Mus musculus: one gene and its partner. The protein of the gene in region 1 purifies or fractionates together with the protein of each later gene. This does not show direct contact. Links are inferred from orthologs where the notes say so. Each region holds a gene or a part of one and is shown in the gene's direction. Other genes may lie near its edges.

Region 1 (11,253 bases):
CCCCACATTGGCACCTTTCTTTGTACAACAAATGGCTTAAACAAAGTGTCTAGCTGAGAATCTATCGGTTGTAACACCACTGATTTTTGTGACCTGTGGCTTTTTATTTACAGAAACCAAGCCATTTCCCTCTCCTTTTTTTCTTACTCACAAAATTGGACTTCGTCCTGAAATTTTTCTCCAAGAAAAGGAAGAGCTGTTGAAGAAGGGCCAGGGCTGGTGATACACAGGTCTCTCAGCATGTCCCCTACTTACTGTCCCTCTCTTTCTGCAGCGACTGAGCCAGTATGTGGCACCCCCAGGAGCCAGTAGCATTTTGGAACTTGAGTCATTGGGACATGTGGCTGAGCTGGAACCTGGCTGCTAGGGACACAGGAAGAGTAGAAATTTGGCCATGGCTCTGCTGCCTGGTGAAAGCTAAAGCCCCTGAAGATCTCCTTGTACCCATCTCAGAACTGCGTGTCTCAAGCTGCAGCCACCCCAGAGGTCTGGATTACAGCCTTTCAGATGTCACTTCTTGAGAAAGCTTGATGCTCATTTCCATAGCACGGCTCATTCCATAGTAAGCCAACTTCTCTGAGCCCCAGCAATCCTCTAGGACACCCATTACCCTGCCCTGAAGGATCACTGAAGGCCATGGCCATCAAACCATGCTAGATGGCTTGCTATGGGGGCTGGGAGCCAAAGTTAGCAGATAGGAGGTCTGTGCACATCTTAACACGAGACCCAGGAGCAATCTGAACCTCACATCATGCGGACTTGTCTTTAGGGCAACAGAGGAAGACTTGGACTGTGTCTCAGAGGTAGAACATTTTCTTAGCATGCTCAGGGGCCCAGACTTTGGTCCTCAACAGTGAAAAAGAAAAGGATTTCTTCAGTATATTTTGTATTTTGGATAGAGATGATGGATGTGGCTACAATATTTTTGTAACTAAAGCCCATTTTCCACTTGATCAGAGACAATAAGGAACACACACACACACAAGGAAAGAAAAAGAAAAGAGAGAGGCAGAGATGGAGAACTGTCAATGCACCCCTTCAAAATGCAAGCTACTTGGCATTTGGTCCAAGGGTCAGCTGATGTACACAGGCTATTTCTATACTTGGACAGAAGAGAAAGTTTCCACAGTTTCTCTGCTTTCCATCCCAGGCCATGTTCAGGCTGGAGGCTTTGTGCTGATCCACGGAGATGAAGTGAAGCGGTCACAGCTGTCATCCAGCTGGCTCGGGGTGCTGGCACTGTTCTTCTGGTTAGAGCTGGCTTCCAGCATAAGCTTCAAATGGCAAGGAAGCTCATGGCTGCAGCTGGATTCAGTTATAGAGAAGATTTTTCTGAAACAACTCTAAGATTCATTAAAGGTAAGGCACTCACAGCTCAGTGGGCACCGAAAGATGATGCAGCACAGACTAATCTAGAGATGGTCAAAAAGGGGCCAGGATGGGAACCCGGGAAGCAGGTGTATATGTGTGTGTGTGTTTGTGTGTGTGTGTTCTAATACCAAATCTGAATATTTTTGAAGACAAGGTTTCCTGTATTCATGCTGGCCTCAAACGCACAGTAGTAGAGTGACCTTGAGATTCTGGTTCTCCGACCTCTCATCTCTTGAGTGCTGGGATTATAGATGTGCACCATCTTGCCTGGATTATGTAACTCTGGGGGTCAAAGCTGTCTTAGTTAGGGTTCTACTGCTGTGAACAGATACCATGACCAAGGCAACTCTTATAAGGACAACATTTAACTGGGGCTGGCTTACAGATTCAGAGGTTCAGTCCATTATCATCAAGGCTGGAGCATGGCAGCATCTCATGGCAGGCATGGTGCAGGCAGAGCTGAGAGTTCTACATCTTCGTCTGGAGGCTGCTATGGGAATACTGATTTCCAGGAAGCTAGGATGAGGCTCTTACGCCTATGCCCACAATGACACACTTACTCTCAAAGGCCACACCTCCTAATAGTGCCACTCCCTGGGCCAAGTATATACAAACCATCACAAAAAGCCAAGGCTTCATGCATGGTAGGCAGACACTATACCAACTGAGCTACATTTTAGCACAAATCTGTCTTTTTTTTCCCCCATTCATCTTTTTCCATTTTCCTTGTGAGTAGAAAGGGAGAGATGAGAACAAAGCTGACAGCCCCTGCAGACCTGGAGTGGCATTTGCTACTTTGTGGGTTCTCTTTTTTCTACCCTTCTCCATTCCTTTTCTTCTACCCTTTCAACCCCCTAATGCTAGATAGGGGAGAAACAAGGATAGAGAGGAAGGGGGACAGAGTCATAGGTTGACTACTTCCTGCTGGTTAGGGCCATTGCTCTCCTTGGGGCAAGTTTAATCTTCCCATTCAGGATACCTAATTTCCTCTTGTTTCTTCTTTGTGCACAACTACTTAAGCCATGATAAACCAACAACTCACCTGCCTCTCAGGGCCCTAGCATTTACATTTCCCTTTGAAGGAGGAGTCCCCAGAATTCTAAACATCATGTGGTCTCAGAAACTGCCTGCAGCTGACAAATCCCACCCCCGCAGGAGCACAAGGCCAGTCCTAGTCAGCGGCTGTGGACAATCTAAAGCAGCCCATAGGCCTCACCTGGATGAAAATGAAAACATATTCCCATAATATGTCTGTGATTGTCAAAGAGACCAAAGTTTTCACTACACAGACCCGCTAAGTTAGATGTGGACGATCAGTCTGCTCTGGGTCTGGAACAGGACTTCCTCTTTTCCACTCTTACCCATGCCTGGCTGCCGTGGGAATGGATTTATTGGGGGGGGGGGGGATGAGACAAAATACCAGGTGTTGGTGTAGTTATTCCCACCTCTGTGATAAGGTGGGGAACAGGGACTCAGGTAGGAGATGCACAAAGTAACACATGCTATTATAATTCCACTCACTACAGTCTTTCTATGCACGATGTAACACATGCTATTATAATTCCACTCACTACAGTCTTTCTATGCACGATGTAACACATGCTATTATAATTCCACTCACTACAGTCTTTCTATGCACGATGTAACACATGCTATTATAATTCCACTCACTACAGTCTTTCTATGCACGATGTAACACATGCTATTATAATTCCACTCACTACAGTCTTTCTATGGCCAGTGCTTCAGGTCCAACCGTACTTGCCTCCTGCGCTTGTAGTGATTTGTTATTTTCAGGCAAGGCCTCAATAGGTAGCCCAGGCTAGCCTTAAGCTCGAGCTTTCCCTGCTTCAAACTCCACGTGCTGGGGTTATAGGCACGCACAGCCACACCTATGTTTATCTTTACTCACATGTCCAGAGATATACCTTGAAACCTTATGAGTACCAATGCTTGCGTTTAACATGACTACCAATCTCTCTCCTTTGGAAGGTGCTGATCCTATTAGGAGAAGAATGTCAACTGCCCAGCTCTTGATGGTTGCTGGGCTCTCTGTGGCTTAATAGTAGGAGCTGTTGTTAGTTTTAGTGGGCCCTGTTTTTAAAACTACTTCTTTGTTTGTTTGGGTTTTTTTGTTTGTTTGTTTTTTGAGACAGAGTTTCTCGGTATAGCCCTGGTTATCCTGGAACTCACTTTGTAGACCAGGCTGGCCTTGAACTCAGAAATCTGCCTGCCTCTGCCTCCAGAGTGCTGGGATTAAAGGCGTGCGCCACCACGCCCAGCCTTTAAAACTACTTTTTAAATGAGGTAGTCGGATCACTAGTTTGCTCGATCTAGGGATAATGAGGTGGGTGGTAAGTGAAAGAAAGTAGGATTGTCACCCAGAAAACTGCCTTTGTACAAACAGCTTGCTTTAGGGAGCCTATAAATAAGTCTGCTACCTTGTGTACCAATTGGTAACTGTGTTCAGATAATTAATTCTCTAAACCCTCCCACGTATTTCTATACTTCATATTTATATGTTTCTATCAGAATGAGCAAAAACATGGCCACAGTATTAAGTCTTCACATAGGCCCACGGCTTTGTTTTCAGGGTAGACCTCTTCTCAGTATACCAAAAAAGCCTATGTAAGCTTGGACCTTCGACAGGTTTATGTTCCTAAAATCCTCTGTAGCATCATAGAAGGAGCCAGCTTTGGGAGTATATCCCATCAGTTTCGCAGCGATAAGGCTTCAGCATTCCTTTTGTGTTAAGCTATGTAAGTCTGTCACTTGCACTAGTATTTTACTGCAGCCTTCAGTCTTACCTGGTACAGAATGAGGGTGCACATTTGAAAGCATGCTCTTTCCTGATGGGAAGTGAAAGGGTGTGCTGTTTTAGATACTCAAAACATTAGGGCTAGGCAGGATGGAGAATAACAGGGTTAAGGCCTTTCTTCAGGCTGATAATCTTTTCCTTAGTACAAACGCCGGTGAAAACCTCCACGGAGCAGATTCTGCCTTTCTCTGCAAACAGCCCCCAACGTCTGCTGCTGGTTCTTGATAGAGTCTACCCGGCAACTTATATTCAAGTGGCTAATATGTGGGGGCTAACAGGAGCGCGGGCAAAATCGTCTTGGAGCTGCCCTAGTGAAGGAGGACCTCCGAGCAAACTCGGAAGTGGCCTCTCTTCCCATGTCCTGTAAAGCTGGTCTAAGGAAATAAAAAGATGCATGTGACGGGTTGTGTGCTCTGTTTGCGTGGACAGGGGCCGCGGGAACCGGGTGAGGGAGTTCGACGGTCAGGTGAAGCGCGACCTGAGGCCCAGGGCCCCGGGATCGGCCTTCCGAGCAAAGTTCAGATTGGGACCTCTGTTGGAAGCGCTGGCGAGCCGGGTTCCTCTCCGAGACCTGGGCGCGCTAAATCGCAGGCTCTGGGTCTGATCTCTCTCATGGACCCCGCCCCTCGCTCCTTAAGCCACACCCCCTCAAGCGGAACACCTCCCTTCCCTTGGCATTCGCCCCGCCCCTTCCGGTCCGCAATCCGGAAGCGTTCTGGAGCTTGCTAGTTCGCTTTCCGGCTTGAGAATGCGTTCTCTGTAGTGTGACTTGGAGCATCTTTTCTAGGAAGTAAACGCGTCCTAATTTGAGACGCGGACTTTCCGGCATTGCTGTAAAAGCTTCCGGCGCTACCTGGCTGTAAATACTCTGTATCTGACGCCGTGTCGCCCACGAAGGCGATCAGGTTTAGAAATATCCAGAGGGATCTTACGGTAACCTACATCAGCCCGCCAAGATGGCGATGCAAGCGGCTAAGAGGGCGAATGTGAGTACCCCGCTTTCTGCGTGACAGGGAAGCGATGTTGTTGCTTGACTGTTGCTGCGTGCCTGGGGAGCGTTTTTTGTCCCTCCGCCCATAGTTGGGGAAGCTTGTTATCAGTTCTGTCAAAGGAGGTTCTGTCCTGGGCTCGTCCTCAGGGGTGTGTTCTTTGAGCGACTTTTCGCCCCACCCCTATTGAGAGCCCCCTGGCATCAGTGACCTCGTAACGCCTAGGACCAGGCGTTAGGCTCTTCTGAGTCCAAAAAGACATACGGAGTAACTATTTGGTTCCTTGCCAGCTGGAGCCTGGGATTTTTCTCGAATGTAGAACTTTGGGAATCCTCTATTAATATTATGTAAGCACCTGCTTTGTCTCTTGTCTTACAAACGGGAAGCAATTCATCAGTTGGGTTTATTCAACACTACTGTGTAAAGGACTAGTCGGGCTTATGTTCTACTGTTGTCAGTGAGTGTTACCAAAACCTTTAAGGAAAAAAAAAAACATCTTTCAGGAAATTAAGAAGTGGTTAAAACTTAGAATCACACCAAAACAAAGACACATAATTGACCATTGGATATCCTGATGAAGATTTTGGGCAACCGCGATTATGTGAATCATTTCAGTGAATGAAAACTTAGTTCCTGTAAAATAAAAAGATGGTAGGAGTTAGGACAAAACTGTAGAGCTGATTCTATGATTTTTCTTATTAATAGAGAAATTGAATTGTTTTAAAGATACCTACAGTGCTTTTTATAGACCAACGAGAGTGAGCCAACATAATGGTAGAGACCTGATATGTAAGATTCCAGAGTAAAACTGGAATGTGGCTCAGTGATTGCCTAGTGGGCGTGAGTCTGGATTTGACTCCCAGCACCTCAAACCATGACAACCAAAAATAAGTAAAGAGGGGAGTGGTTGGTACACCAATAGAAGAAAAAAATGGTTGGATGGACATAGATGGATAAAGTTTACAATAGGAATATATAGTTACCATTTGATCATATCTGTTTTCTTCAAGAAGTGTGGAGCCCCGGGTCATATCCTATGTTGGCTGAGAAGAGTATAGAGCCTTTTCAAATTTTACAGGGGATGATGATGGTGAAGTTTTAGGAGAGAAGAGAGAGACATACACAGTGTTTTACACAGTGAAAAAGCAGATTTACTGGAGAAATATATTTGTGTGGCAGTTGTTGATTATCAAACTTGACCTGGAAATCTTAAACTTTTATAGTCTGTCTAATTATCACCACTACTCATTTGAAGGTAGGGATAAGCGTTTTTACTTTCATGTTTGTTTATTATTGTATGTGCACATGTAGAGGCCAGACGACAATTTGTGGGAGTCGGTTCTCTCCATGTGGATTCCAGGGATTGACAGCTCACCAGGCTTGCTGGCGAGGGCCAGCTCACCAGCCTGAGGGCAAATATCTTATCCTTTCATTCATATAATGCTTAGCTTCATACCAAAAGCCGTGTTGGTTTAATAAGTGATTACTGAAAATGTTTTGTCTGAGCTGGGCATGGTGGTGGCGGCGCATGTCTTTTATCCCAGCACTCGGGAGGCAAAGGCAGGCGGATTTCTGAGTTCGAGGCCAGCCTGGTCTACAGAGTGAGTTCCAGAACAGCCAGGGCTACACAGAGACACCCTGCCTCATAAAACCAAAAAAAAAAAAAAAGAAAGAAAGAAAGAAAATGTTTTGTCTGGTATGTAATTGACTGTAGTAGCAAAGAGGGACGTGTGAGTCAGCTGTAGAGGAAGAAGGCTAAGAGTGAGGAGTGTACAGCAGGTTCAGACAGGCAACAGACCGGGCCACAGTATCAATGTCACAGATAGGAGGAACAACAAGAAGGGTGAGAGTGAAGAGTGTATAGCAGGTCAAGACAAGCCACAAACTGGGGCACAGTATCAATGTCACTGATAGGAGGAACAACAGCCAGGCCCCTAAAAGGCTGACAAGGGAACGCTGGAATGAAAAGATGTTAGTAAAGACACTTTCAAGTGGTAGCTCAGGTCTGGGTGTCCTATAAAGAAGATGAGTCAGTCAGGACAGACTTTCCTTTGCAGCCTGCATGACTGAAAACAGAAGCAAGATTTAAAAAAAGGTAGAGCTGGAAAGTGCAGGGAAGGTAGACACCTTGTCTTTCATTCAAGGCATCTCTCTTAGTACCTAGCTCACTGTGTACATTTAAAAGGCACTTAGTAGCTGGGCAGTGGTGGCGCACGCCTTTGATCCCAGCACTCAGGAGGCAGAGGCAGGTGGATGTCTGACTTCGAGGCCAGCCTGGTCTACAGAGTGAGTTCCAGGACAGCCAGGGCTACACAGAGAAACCCTGTCTCAAACCTCCCCCCGCCCCAAAAAAAAGGCCCTTAGTAACTGTTTGATGCATAAGTGAAGAGGAGCCCAGTACTTTGTTTTGTGTGGATTGGGAGGACCAGATCAGCTGCTCAACTGGGGACTAGAAACTGGTGAGAAGGGAAAGCCTGTAAGAACAAGAGAAGTCACTGATGCAGGCTCCTAAGCCATGAGAAGGCGTATGAGTGGGATTCACTGTCCTTTCTTCCCCACGAGACACTAAGGATGGATGTGTAAGTGAAGTGGGGATCCTTGTTAAGTAGAGCGGGGTTTTAGTTGCTCCTGACAGTCTTCCCTCTGCTGACTTCCTGAGGAGCATCCGGTGGTAGCTCTTACTCTTGGCTTCTTCTTTGGCATCACTGGGGTCTTTACCATGACTGCGCACTGCTGTCCTTCAGTATAATGATCCTTATTTCTCATTTTAGATTCGCCTCCCACCTGAAGTAAATCGGATTTTGTATATAAGGAATTTGCCATACAAAATCACAGCAGAAGAAATGTATGATATATTTGGGAAATATGGACCTATTCGTCAAATCAGAGTGTAAGTTTTTCTAAGTCTTATAATATCACTTAAAGGATATGGTTGTCTAATCGGTAATCTCCTCCGAGTTGTAGCTCGCAGCAGGACTGCACTGTATGGTGTGCAGTGATGTGTCTGCTTTGCAGTGAGACTACAAGACCCTTGAGTAAAAGTTCCTTTCTAGTATCATGTAATATTTAGTGATAACATCTTGTAATTCTGAATCAAACCATTAAACTACAGTACCTAAATTTGTGCCATTTAAGGGCCCCTCTGGAAGGATTTTTAAAGCTTTTATTTTTTCAGTCATAATGTTTCTCTTCAGGAAGGCACCATTGAAAAGGTCCTGTGGGTTTGAACCCAGGACCCTGTACATGCTAGACAGGCTCTAATCCCAACCCCACTATATATATTTTTTATAAGTTTTCTGAAGCAAGAGTGGTGGGCCACACCTATAATCTCAGTTTGTGCATAGAGGCAAGGGTTAAAAGTGATTCTCATCTATACAGGGATTTTGAGGTCAGCCTGATTTTTTTAAGACCATAGCTCAAGTCAAGCTGAAGATTTTCTTTTTATAACCTCAGAGCCCCTTCCTGGCTTTTAAGACCATGAGAACCTGAAGCCTTTGCTTTCAAATGACCACCATCTCTCCTGGGAGTAAACTGCTTCCTGGGAATATACCATCATTTGTGATGTATTCCCATTAGTAGCCAAATGAGGATGAAACAAAAATACCATAGAAGGAGTGCTCTCTTTAGGAGGTCTCAGTTCTCTGAACAGCTGCTAAGGACTTTGTAATCCCTACTGAATACATTTTGTCTGTATTTTGAGGAATGCAAGAATTCTAGGTCCTTCAAAGAACAAATAAAATATGTAGATAGTCTCTGATTTGAGAGCCAGGAAACAAGGGTTTGCCTTTAATGCCTGTAACTAGCCATGTGCCAAGCAGCAAGGCTTGTTAGGTTTTTCTTCTGTAAGATAATTTGGATGGTGGCCCTTTGGTCCTCAATGAGAAGGCAGTGTGATAAATCGACTGCATCGGTTGTTAGACCTGAGTTCAGATACTAACAGTCTTTCAAGTTTAAGTAAACCTGGGCAGAGTGTTTCATCTGTCTAGGCTTCAGTTCTCCATGAGCTTGGGTCAAGTTGCACAGTCTGTACATCCAATCACTCTCCATAAAGCCACGGAACCTCTGTCCATCCCTTAGTTACATCTAAGGCTTATTAGTTAATACATGCTCATGTTACTGCCCATGAACTCAACTGTCTTTCTTGGCAGAGGTGACAGCCTCCAGGCTTTGTGTTGATAGCATTGCTGCATGATCCATAGTAACCTCCCATACACACACACACGCAAATGAATAGGACTGGGGTACAGCTTATTAGTTGAGTGTGCAAGGCCTTGAGTTCAATCCTCAATAAAAAGAAAATAAATAAAATAATAGCATGGCTGTGATTAACTTATGAAGGCATTATAAAGCTTACTTATAGCACTCACTTGAGAAAAGTTTAAGTCAGCGTTAGAGAATGCTACCAAAACGACAACATAAGAACTAGTCATGGTAGCCGGGCATGGTAGTACACGCCTTTAATCCCAGCACTCAGGAGGCAGACACAGGAGGACCTCTGAGTTCGAGGCCAGCCTGGTCTACAGAGTGAGTTCCAGGACAGCCAGGGCTACACAGAGAAACCCTGTCTCGAAAAATCAAAAAAAAAAAAAAAAAAGAACTAGTCATGGTAGAACACACCTGTAATCAGAGCCATATTGGAAACAGAGGCAGAAAGACTGCAAGTTTGAGACCAGTCTGGGCAGTAAAGTGTGGCAAATTCAATACGTCAGGGGTTACAGCTTGGTAGTAGAGGCAGCCAAAGCATGAGCAGAGCCACAGTAGCTCAGGGCCTTGGCTTCCAAGCTTCTCTCAGGCTGCTCGGCTCCTTCTCAGCCTAGTCTCAGCTTCAGGAAAGACTTTTCAGAGAGGTTCCCCCTGTCACAGCTCTCCTTTCCTCATGTGGCTCCATATGATCTGGGATTCATACTTTTTGGGGGGGGGGGTTCGAGACAGGGTTTCTCTGTGTAGCCCTAGCTGTCCTGGAACTCACTCCGTAGACCAGGCTGGCCTCAAATTCAGAAATCCGCCAGCCTCTGCCTCCCAAGTGCTGGGATCAAAGGCATGTGCCACCACGCCCAGCGATTCATATTTTTTGTGTAATGTTTTTCTCTTGCTTGAAGGAAGGAAGGAAGGAAGGAAGGAAGGAAGGAAGGAAGGAAGGAAGGGAGGGAGGAAGGAAGGAAGGGGTGATGTCTACCTTTCACTGTTGGTTCTGCTGCTCATCCTTGGAGAATGCAGTGATTGTTGAATAAAGTCATAGAATGTTGAGGCACAAGAGCCTGGATCTTAACTGTGGAGTGAGAAACAGTGGGTCTTCTGTTCCCTCTGTGATCAGCCTCTGTTGCTTACTAGGTGCCAAGCACCCTGCCAGTACTGATTTGGGTTTTTTCAGAGAGGGTTTCTCTTTATCCCTGGCTGTCCTAGAACTCTGTAGACCAGGCTGGCCTTGAACTCAGAGACTGGCTTGCCTCTGCCTCCTGAGTGCAGGGATTAAAGATGTGGGCCACCACCACCAGCTAGTACTGACTTTCTACAATGGAATTTGGTAAAACCTAGCCATGCTTCTTCATGCACCAGGACAACTGATCACACTCTACCTGACATGTAGTAGTCACATGGTACTTTGTATTCTTTACAGCCTTTTAACATTGTTACCTTTCCTATTACAATCCTTCATAGGGGTTGGAAAGATGACTCTGGGGTTAAGAGTGCTTCCTGCTATTCCAGAGGGCCCAAAGTTCTGTTCCCAACACTCGCTTTGGGTGGCTCACAGCTGCCTGTAGCTCTGGTTCCAGTTGGGTCGTATATCACGTCTGGCCTCCCAAGGGCACCTGCTCTACATATATCATGCACATTTTTTTGTTTTGTTTTCTTCTTTGAGATAGGGTTTCTCCTTGTAGCAGTGGCTGTCCTGGAACTCTGTAGACTCAGAGATCTGCCTGTCTCTGCCTTCTGAGTGCTGGATTAAAGGTGTGCAACACTACTGCCTGACACATATAAATCATTTTTAAAAACACATATAATATAGGACAAATGATACTGAAATCAGTATATGATGTCAAGTAGCTGAAGCTAGAAAGGCTAAATTGTGGGTGA
Region 2 (10,554 bases), on another chromosome or scaffold:
CATAATTCTGCCTGAAGGTTTGATGTTCTAGTTGAATGGATGAGCTGAAGGGAGCTGGGAAATGTGTAGGTGGGGAAATCACTAGAATATTTTTCTGTGGATTTTGTTCTCATTAGTTGGAATCAAATGAGTTTCGAGGGGAACTTCAGCAGGAAATTAGTGGGCTCCTTTTAGCTGAAAAGGTGATTGGATGTTTGGTTTTAAGAGATTTATACATTGAATATAATTTCTACATAAGAAGCTAGCTAATGTTGATCTTAGTTTTGATGGGCTTTGATAATAAAGTTCTAGCAACTGTTACCTCGATTAGTTAAACTAGAAAGATGCTTGAGAGCTCTACTGTTTTTAAAGGTGGGTCTCACTTTGTACTAGGGCTGGCCTCGAACTTGGTGTCTCCACGATGGTCCTGTATTCACATCATTCCTGAGTGCAGTGGTGACACACATATCACCCTGCCCAGCTTCTAATTTTTAGATAGTTTTTGAAAATTTTAGAGCAGATTTAGGTTTGCCAGAAGTTACTCATTTTTATGAAGAAAGCAGAATATCTCAAGTAGTGACTCTAAAGCCAATACATTTAAATAACAGAGGCAGGAGATTGTCTTCTGCATCCTAATTGGAAGCTCATTTGACTCACTCTGTGGTGGGAGCTTAAAGCATTGGTTTCTTGTGTGCTGTCATCCTGCTGTCCATTTAGAGCAGTTAGCACAGAATTTCTGCCTAAGAGCACTGGGGTAACTCAGTGGCAGAGCACTTGGCTACTGGGCCAGATCCTACAGAGCCATCCAACAATAAGAATATAAAAAGGATAGGTATCCAACCCCTATGTTCATTGATGTGGTGAAAGGCATACAAATGCTGCTAGAAGGGAGGGACTATAGGAGAGGAAACAGACTTATTTAAAAGTGAAGGAAGGTATAGCATTCAGTGATAGGCAGGCTGTTTCTAGTGTGGTGGAACTAGTAGTTGAAACTGTTCTCTGTTACATATCAAAACCTAGGTAGCAAATGTTTCTTGATCAGTTTTACTTTTTACTGCACTTTGGTCAATTATACACAAAAACATGTTAGGTTTTCTGGTCATTTTCTTTCCAGATAACCTACGATCCTATTGAGTGAGCATTCCTCTATCCACACGTGCCTCCGTCTTCAGGCAAATACTAACCTTGGCTGGTACTTGGTGATGCATACTACCAATACCAAGCCTTTTTTTCTCTTCCACAGGTGGCTGGTGAAGGTGCTGATTATCACAGGTGTGTACCTACTGCTAGGGTCTACTGTGGGATCTATAGGGAGAGGGATGGCCTTCACAGAGTACTGAGGCTGCCCTAACGGGGTCTCTCAGGGAACTTTGCAGGTGGATGTCAGTGTGCATCTTAGTGACACTCATCATCTGGTCTAAAGCAGGAATTAGCCCCTCTGGACAGTAGGAATAGTTTGGCTTTTATGAACCTGAAAGAACATGTAACAAGCAAACCACAGCTTCATTCTCCTTTGGAATTATCCATTCCAGATGTCTCGACTGACAGATTAGGTCCTGGAGAAAACATTTTGAGTCTATAATACATTAAACTAAGGTGAGATAAGAGCCAGGTACTCTGAATACCACGTGTGAATGATACACAGGAAGCTTGGTCATCTCCACTGGGGCCATGTTACTGTTTGGAGACGGCTAATAATAATTTAGTAAGGTAAGAAAGGTACAGCATTGTCTCTCATGGTTGCTGTACAGTGCTCAGAAATGGAAAAGGAAATATACTGAACTTGGCCCTACAGAGGCGTTCTCTTTCCCTGAGAGAGCCCTCACTGAGACAGGACGAAAAAGACATTGTGAATATTTATAATTCCTAGTAATAACAGTGTCTGAAGCTTGATTTTTGGTATTGAATGTCAACTTTTAAGGTCTGTAATCTCCCTAAGACTATTAATGTGTCTCAGGACTTCATTGCTGGGAATGGCAATGGTAGAAGTTCCAGTGTGGTTGGTATTCAGGGAAGCTGTGGTTAAAGGGATTTTTAAAGCAGTAGTCATTGCTCTCTTCCTTGTGGAATTATTTAGACAAAGTGCCTGCTGTTAATTGAGCATTTCCTTTATATCTGAGTAGTCGGGTCTTGTGGCTAAAGGGAAGGTGTAAACAGTAAAAGCAGCAAGGAAAGAACCGCGTGATTTCTCCCAAAGACACTGCTTTCCTCTCAAGTGAGGGGAGACACTGAAAATTGTAGCTGGTTAAAGTCCTTAATTAGTTTGCTGTAATTTAGTATCACACAGCTTTGAAGGTACAGTAAATGGGAACACGGGAGATGATGTAGTGTTCTCATAAAAATAAACAGTTTCTTACTACATGTCAGAAATTTCCAAGTCAAAAGTTCAGAGCTGGAGTAAAGTTTTAAGTTTGATGTCATGTTGAGATCAGTTTAGGTCTTCGTAAGCTATTGGAAATCCATTTAGGAACAACCATATCCTAATTTCCTTTTTAAAAGTATTTACTTGTTATAGTGTATGTGTGGGCATGTGTGACACCATGTGCATGTGGAGTTCACAGGTCAGCTCTGTGGAGTTGGTTCTCTCTGTCCATCCTTATGTGGCTTTTGTGAGTGGAACTTGGAACACCAGGCCTGAACAGCGCCTTCATGCTCTGAGACATGTCATGATAGCAAGCAGGGCTCGACATGTAAAATCATTGTAAATGATTTTCCAAAGCATTTGCTGACAGTACAATCAAAAACCAAGTGTCTGGTCTAGCACTGCTCTCTAACATTGTATATATGCTTTATGGGTTACCTGTCTGTCCATTTATCATTTGAACTGCGTGGTGGGTTGGGAAAGATCTTTGATTCTTACTTTTTGCTAGCCATGTTGTATATGTGTATTATTAACTGGAAGTTTTATTAACAGCATTTAACCCTTACTGTGTGAAACAGTCACATACCATTATTTCTATAATAAAATACTGATTACAATCACCAAACTGTACGTCCTGCTAATAGGTCAGAGTCCTGTGTAGGCTGCACCAGTGATGTGCCTTCACCCTCCTATAAAGAACGCTGATTAAAGTAGTTCTGATAATAATCTGGAGTAATACAAACTAAAAATGGTCCTTGATGTGTATGGAGTAAGTAGGTTAGTCTTGTGGCATCGAGCTCTGACAAGGCTCGGGGCGAGTAGAGCCCTGTAGCTGCCAATCAAGTTTAGTGCCTTACTCTGTTGTTCTGTCCTTTGTTTCACTGATTTCTGTGTTGGGCACAAAATGACACTCAAAAGTTGATATAGAAATACAGATACTGAGTGGGAAAAAACTTATGAAAGCAGTAAATGTAACTTTATTCAGTATATATCCGGTGTTCTATATTGTTGACGTAGGCAACTCAGAAGTTATTTTATACTGTGGAGTGAAGGTATGGGAAATAGATGGCCTTTAGCAATGGGGTTGGGCAGGAGATTAAGATTGCCTTTATAGAACTCAGATCTTAAGACCTTGAGAAACTCATTAGTGTTTGTTTATTAAACAACATTATGAAAAGCAAATTCTAGTAAGATTGCTTGTAACCACTGTGTTGCTAACAATTTTAAACAGAAAAGCCCTAGAGGTCAGGCACTGACTATCAACATTTGCCCTTCCCCCATTTCCTGGGTAACTGGTGCTCTCTCTTCTCAGTGGGATTAGGATTCCCAGGCTCCAGCCCTCGAAAAACCAAACATGTTCAACCCTCAAGTAGTCATTTTCTTCACTAAAGATTATATATATATATATGTTTGCATTCGCTCCCTTTAGAAGAAGTTAGTGCTTGGGTATCTTTTTGGTTTTTTTGGGGGGTGTTTTTGTTGTTGTTTTGGTGAGGTTTTTTTGTCTGTTTGTTTTGAGACATAGCCTTGGTGTCCTCAAACTTGGAGATCCACTTTTTTCTGCCTCCTGAGTGCTCAGATTCACAGAGTACCCCACCACGCCTGGCTGATCTCTTCTCTTAAAATGTCCCTTAAGTGGGTTGGAATCAGGCAGGATTAACTCAGCTGCCTGTCATGCAGGAAACTCAGTTCCAATCTCCAGCACATCATAAGCCAGGCATGGTGGCACACCTATGTATAGTTCTAGTGCTAAGGAAAGTAGAGTCAGAAGTTCAAAGTCATCTTTGGCTGTATATTGAGTTTGAGTCCAGCCTGGGCTACATAATACCCCATCAGTCAGTCAGCAATTGGCACAAATAGATTTGCTCTAGTTTTTCACACAGTTACTTAAGGTTTTCTTATATGTTTTATTATTATTATTTTATTTTTATCGTCTCTTTTCCAAATACCTGAAGGAAATACTAGTCTTCAGACATTTATACTCAGCGTGTTTGGGCATTTACTTGTAGGTTGCTAGGACAGCCAATCGTCTTTTGAACATTCTGTTTTGTGTGTGCATGTGTGTAGTGACTGCACATAGAAGTGTTGTGAAAGGTTTCTAAAACTGTTGTGTCTCAACTGCCTTTCTAATGCTAGTAAATTTGAATTTTTCCTAACAGCTCCTCTGTTTTCTTTTTTCCAGATGAGTTTGATGCCTACATCATTGTGTCTTTCGTGAATGCCACACTTGTGCTATCTATCGGAGAGACTGTGGAAGAAGTGACTGACTCTGGCTTCTTGGGCACCACTCCAACCTTGTCCTGCTCCTTGTTAGGAGATGATGCACTGGTGCAGGTGAGCGTGCACCTCCTCAGCGTGCCTTGGCCGTCCGTCCTTTGCCCATCCTTTGCCCATCCTTCTCTTGTTTTGTGGTGTGCTTGAATTCATGTTTCTTCATTCTCACCTTCCAGAAAACCTGAGGGGAGGGTCTAATGTCTTATCAACATAAAAAGGGGTACTGAGAATTCATCCCTTTCAGGCTTTGAATAACTCGGCAGTTAGGAAAATTTGAAGCCTAACATTTCCTCCCTGTTGGTCATTCCCTATCACTGCTTTTCTCATCTTTATCATTAACATGTGGGCTTGGGACCTTTCTCAACTGAGGTGGCAAAGCATGAACATTTCAAAAACAAGCAGTGCCTCATTTGTGTGGTCCCAGTGTGCCAGTGTGAGGGCCATTCTGGGTGACAATCAGATTGCTAGTTAGATGTTCTTCTTTGACTGACTTCTAGGTGTATCCAGATGGCATCCGACACATACGAGCAGATAAAAGAGTTAATGAGTGGAAGACTCCCGGCAAGAAAACGATTGTGAAGTGTGCAGTGAACCAGCGACAAGTGGTGATCGCCCTGACTGGGGGAGAGCTGGTCTATTTCGAGATGGATCCTGTATGTTACTTGTTTTGTTCTGCTGGCCCTGTGTTATCTTCCATTATGGTCCTTGGGGTGGGGTTCTGTTGTTGTGCTTAGGCAGTGTTGTCAGTGTATGTATCTTAAGCATGCATGGATTCACAAGAAAGAGAATTGGGACTCTGAAGTGTCCACAAACAAGACAGTTTGGCCCCTTTTTTAAAGATTAAGGACAAAAACTAGGAAATCTAATTCAGATTACAGATGTGAAATCTCTTGAAAGCCAAATAGCTTGTTTTGTACCTCATCCTCATCTTCTAGTGAATATTTGGTAAAGAATTCTTTTATTTTCTTCTGTCTCGTTTCTCTTTTTTTGTTTTTTGTTTTGTTTTGTTTTGAGATACAGTCTAATGTAGAATTCTAGGCTGGTGACTCACAGCAGTCTTCCTGTCTCAACTTCACAAGTGCTGTGATTAGTCATGAGTTACTATTCCTGATTTTGCTATTTTATATGAAAATGTATCCAGAACTTACCTTCTACAGAAATCTCTAGTAGACTTGACATTTTTGTTGTTGTTTTGACTGTGTTTGAATTGGCTTTGGTGTATTAGGAAAGGGTTTTGTTTTTGAGATGGTCTCATGTAGACTAGATTGGCCTTGACCCTGTTCTTCTGTCTCCCTTTCTGTTTCCCATGTGCTAGAATTATAGTCTTGCATTACCACAGCTGGCTTTGTTCAGGGTTCTCATGATGAGAACAGATAAATGGCTTTATATATTTGTTTCTTGGTCTAGGATAGTGTATATTTATGCTACATCCTGCTTTTTTTCTTTCCCTCTGGGGCACTAACCTGTGAAGTTGATTTTGGGATCTGAAATGGTGAGATTCTTGGTCACTGACTTACTAAAAAGTGGAGTGAGATATAAAACAGTGTTAGCAGTGTTGCTCAGTTGATAGATCTCTAGCACTGTATAAACAGGGTGTGTTCAGACCCTTTGTAATCTCAGAACTCAGAGGAGGCCATGGTCTCAGGTTCATCCTTGAACGTAGCTAATAATAGTTACATGAAACCCCATCTCAGAAGCAAAAAGAGGGGTGAGAGGAGGCAAAAATAAAATTAAATTTAAAAAAAGTCTTAACAGCCCATCTTCCTTTCATACATAGTCCAGAGCTACAGGGTGAATTGTAGCACACAGACCTATTTTGTTTTTCTTCCTGTAGTCAGGACAGTTGAATGAGTACACGGAGCGGAAAGAGATGTCAGCAGATGTGGTGTGCATGAGTCTGGCCAACGTGCCCCCTGGAGAACAGCGATCTCGGTTCCTGGCTGTGGGGCTGGTGGACAACACTGTCAGAATCATCTCCCTCGACCCATCAGTGAGTGGCATTCTTAGTCTTCTGGGTGGGCCCTAAGCACCTGGCTCCCTAAAATCTGTGTCTATTGTTTTTCTCTCCTCTCCCCCATCTTGTCCAGCAGTGAGATCCTAAGCACCCAGTGTGGTGAGGTGTATGCTGCTGCCGCCTTTGATTCCCATAGCACACCTCGGGATGTTTAAGGATGTTGATCTGTGGCTACTATGTGTTTCTTCCTCAAAAGACTTGAATCCCTTTTGTAGTGTTTTAGATTCTATCTATGTTGTTCATGTTTTGCTTGCATGTTTGTATCAGGAAGTATCCAAGCCAACATGTAGATCCTGGGAGAGCAACAAGTTCTTTAAACCACTGGAGCCTTGCCTTCAGTTTAAAATCCTAAGACTGGTGATTAAAAAGGAATTTTACTTATTATAGGGCCTAATATGACTTTCTTACTTTGACCATTATCCACTTTGACAGAAATAAACAAGAGCTCCCCAAAACTTACTCTGAGATTTAGATTTAATAAGCATCTACTGTCTCAGTTTTCTTTTGGGGTTTCCATTTTCCTCAACAAAGATCCTCCTTCAATCCTAGCAGATTTCTGTGAGTATGTGTTTTCCAGAATTGTCTCTTACAGCAATTTTTCCTCCCCACTTCTGTTCCTTAGGACTGTTTACAGCCTCTGAGTATGCAGGCTCTCCCAGCCCAGCCTGAGTCTCTATGTATTGTGGAAATGGGTGGGACTGAGAAACAAGATGAGCTGGGTGAGAGAGGCTCTATTGGCTTCCTGTACCTGAACATTGGACTACAGGTAAGATGTCCAGGGGCTCACATTGGTGTAAGGCCTTCTTTGGTATCTATCAGCCTGTTCTTTATCCAGTCTAAGCATTTTCTTTGCCTGTAGTTCTAGATAGTCGCCTTGGGAAACTCATCATCTAGTGCTGTCAGAGACTGATTTTTCTCAACACTTAGAACATGTTAGGCAGGCCTGGAAATAGCACACACAAAGCGTCTTCATAGCTGGTAAAAAGTGCTTTGTGATAGGTGTTTTGGTTTGGAATTAAATGAGTCTTCAGTAGTGACCTATAGTTCCCATAGTATTCTAGTCTTTTAAAGTGAATTCCTCCCAGTTCATAATTGACCATGTTAGCTCTAGTGTGTAGAAGCCTGGGTGTTTTTGTAGCCAAAGGAGATGAGTTTTATCATGGTACAAAAAGCAGGAATCTAGTGTAAACTAGCATCGGTGCTCTCACGGTGCTATGTGCCTTACTTCCTGAATCAGGACCTGCAAAGACTTAAGTTAGATGGCAGACTTGTGCTTTTTCAGTTTTAGTTTCATACTTTAAAATGCTTGAGCATGAGACACACAAATGAGTCTTCATTTTCCCATTTAAAGGAGTATTTTACAGCAAATCTAGGGCAGTACCTCTTCCCTCCTATACTTAGTAATGTTATCTCTATAGTGTTTTGCTTTAAGAAACTAGTAATGTCATACCCACCAAGATTAGTAACACTTTCTGAATATCTGATACTTTGCATGTTTTAATTTCCTCGTGAAAAATCACAGTTAGTGCAGACTATAGACGTTGACGGCAGTTACTCACTCGTAACTGTTGTAGTGGAAGTGGCCCTACTCTGTTGCATCCCACTGGAGGTGCGTGATGTTGAAATGTTTGTAATCAAGTCTGTAAATTGAGGTTTATTCCTTTGCTCTAAACATACTTTATACAGGAAAAGGATAATGGCTCTCTCCCAACCCCTTCTTCAGTCACTAATTTTACAGTAGGAGTTAGGATTACAGCAGTCATTCTAGTTGAGTCTGATGAAGTAGGGATTTTGTTGGTTGGAGGTAGATTTTTATTTTTTAACTATATAAATTTGTGGGTATTTTCTTCTTCAAATTACTGTCATCTCTTAGATTTTTGTTTGCTTCATTTTTGATTGTGGTTTCCCTTGAAATTCGTTTGTTTATTTGACCCAGCTATCTTGCCTGCCTTCTTGCACAATTAGGTAACTGTTGCATTGGGAATGTTCTTGCTTCAGCCTTGAATCAGTCATCCCTTGGAACCGTGTTCCTTTAGGGAAAATGAGGCTTAGAGGTACCATAGTCAGTACATCCCAGCCTTTAATTGTTTGTTTTCTTTGTTTTGTTTTTTGCGGAGGTCTGCTTTTAAATTATAAAAAGTACTTAACTTAAATGATTTGGGGGGGATGGGGAGGTGAGATGGGGTTTCTTGACCCCTGGCTGTCCTGGAACTAGCTCTCCAAACAGACCGGCCTCAAACTCAGAGATTTTCCTGCCTCTGTTTCTTGAGTGTTGGCTTAAAAGACATGCACAATCCCCACCTGGCTTAAATGAAATATTTCTTAATGTACAGGAAATGTATGTATAATGAGAAGTGGGTTTTGCCAGTAGATGCTTAGTAACTAGGAGAGAATGAGTGAATTCCTGATTGTTGGGCGCTGTGACCTGTTTTATGTTGTTTTCGCCACCAAGTCATATCTTTGTCTTCTACTAAAGTAGCCAAAGGAAAATCTAACATAAAAGTTCCCATCATAAAAAGGAGGCTTTACCTGTTCCATCTTTTCCACTAGAACGGTGTACTGCTGAGGACTGTCCTAGACCCTGTTACTGGGGACCTGTCTGACACCCGCACTAGGTATCTGGGGTCCCGTCCTGTGAAACTCTTCCGGGTCCGGATGCAAGGCCAGGAGGCTGTAAGTAGTCAAAAGACATTTGGATGTTGGTACCACTGTGAACTTCTGACTAATTCACTTTGTAGGTTGATGTTCGTTTCACTTACATAGGAAATTCTGGGTTCTTTGGAGTTTTCTAAGAGATGGTCCATGAGATGGCACTGGGCATTATGAGGTTATAGGAAGCTTGAATATTGATCTTTGAGTCTATTTAGGCCTAGCTATCTGAGATGGAAAAGGATTATAGTGATCTCATGAGTCTACCTAATAGGAATGAGAGCCTATTCTTCGCAGTTCAGAGTTAACACTGCCACTGCCGTGCTAGTTCTTAAACGTTACCTTATTCACATCTACAGCTGTCCAACCTTGGAATAGAGTCTCTAATTTATACCCAAGGGAAAGTCGGTCCAGAGGAATGTGATTGATAAAGCTTGCTTTTTCTTTTTCTTTTTACTTATTTTTTTCCTTTCTTTATACAATAAGCCGTGTACTGCCTGTTTGGGCTCCCTTTGTTTAAAGTGGCTTTGTAGACTTCTAAAATTTGAGGCCAAAGTTGGGTTGTATGTTTGTTTGGTCAGTCTACCATGTATGAGCTTGTCCAGTCTGATTGGAACTCTTCCTCCCCAGGTTCTGGCTATGTCCAGTCGCTCATGGCTGAGCTACTCTTACCAGTCTCGCTTCCATCTCACCCCTCTGTCTTATGAGACCCTGGAATTTGCATCGGGCTTTGCCTCTGAACAGTGTCCCGAGGGCATTGTTGCCATCTCCACCAACACTTTGAGGTGAGAAAATACTGCCAGGCAGTGGTGGTGCACGCCTTTAATCCCAGTACTCCAGAGGCAGAGGCAGAGGCAGGAGGATTTCTGAGTTCCAGGACAGCCAGGGCTACACAGAGAAACCCTGTCTCAAAAAAACAAAAAGGAAAAGAGAAAATCCTCAGGCTTGAAGCCCAGCAGGAAGCTTTTGTGCCAAGTCCTCAGCCTGTGGTTCTACCAGAGTTGGAGGAGTTTGTAGAGATGGCTGAGAACAACCTTTCACCAGGAAAGAGTGTTGCAGCTGAAATTTAGTTTGGCTCAGGCGTTTAGAAACTGTGAGCCAAGTTTGAATTTGGCATTTAGCTTCTGTTTAGACTTTAGGAGCTAAGTTGTAAAACTAGTCTTGCACTTTAAGATTTCTGTTTCCTGGTGAAATGGTCATATCCCAAGACTAGTTTTAGAACAAGCGTTAAATCTGGATTTACCTATAGAATTATATCTTTTTTTAGCCATGGTTT

The links.
Region 2: the proteins of Sf3b6 (region 1) and Sf3b3 fractionate together in Homo sapiens (co-fractionation; 5 studies listed by BioGRID and IntAct, with this or other methods). This does not show direct contact. The link is inferred for Mus musculus from reciprocal best matches to the Homo sapiens genes SF3B6 and SF3B3.

What each region holds. Positions count from the first base shown.
Region 1 is NC_000078.6:4,812,645-4,823,897, forward strand, and holds the start of Sf3b6 (splicing factor 3B subunit 6), read left to right. Parts: upstream 1-4,963; 5' UTR 4,964-5,145; coding exon 5,146-5,175; intron 5,176-7,949; coding exon 7,950-8,068; intron 8,069-11,253.
Region 2 is NC_000074.6:110,820,216-110,830,769, reverse strand, and holds part of Sf3b3 (splicing factor 3B subunit 3), read left to right. Parts: intron 1-1,222; exon of another isoform or gene 1,223-1,251; intron 1,252-4,523; coding exon 4,524-4,675; intron 4,676-5,112; coding exon 5,113-5,268; intron 5,269-6,449; coding exon 6,450-6,605; intron 6,606-7,251; coding exon 7,252-7,395; intron 7,396-9,179; coding exon 9,180-9,302; intron 9,303-9,908; coding exon 9,909-10,063; intron 10,064-10,554. UniProt on the Homo sapiens protein: Component of the 17S U2 SnRNP complex of the spliceosome, a large ribonucleoprotein complex that removes introns from transcribed pre-mRNAs.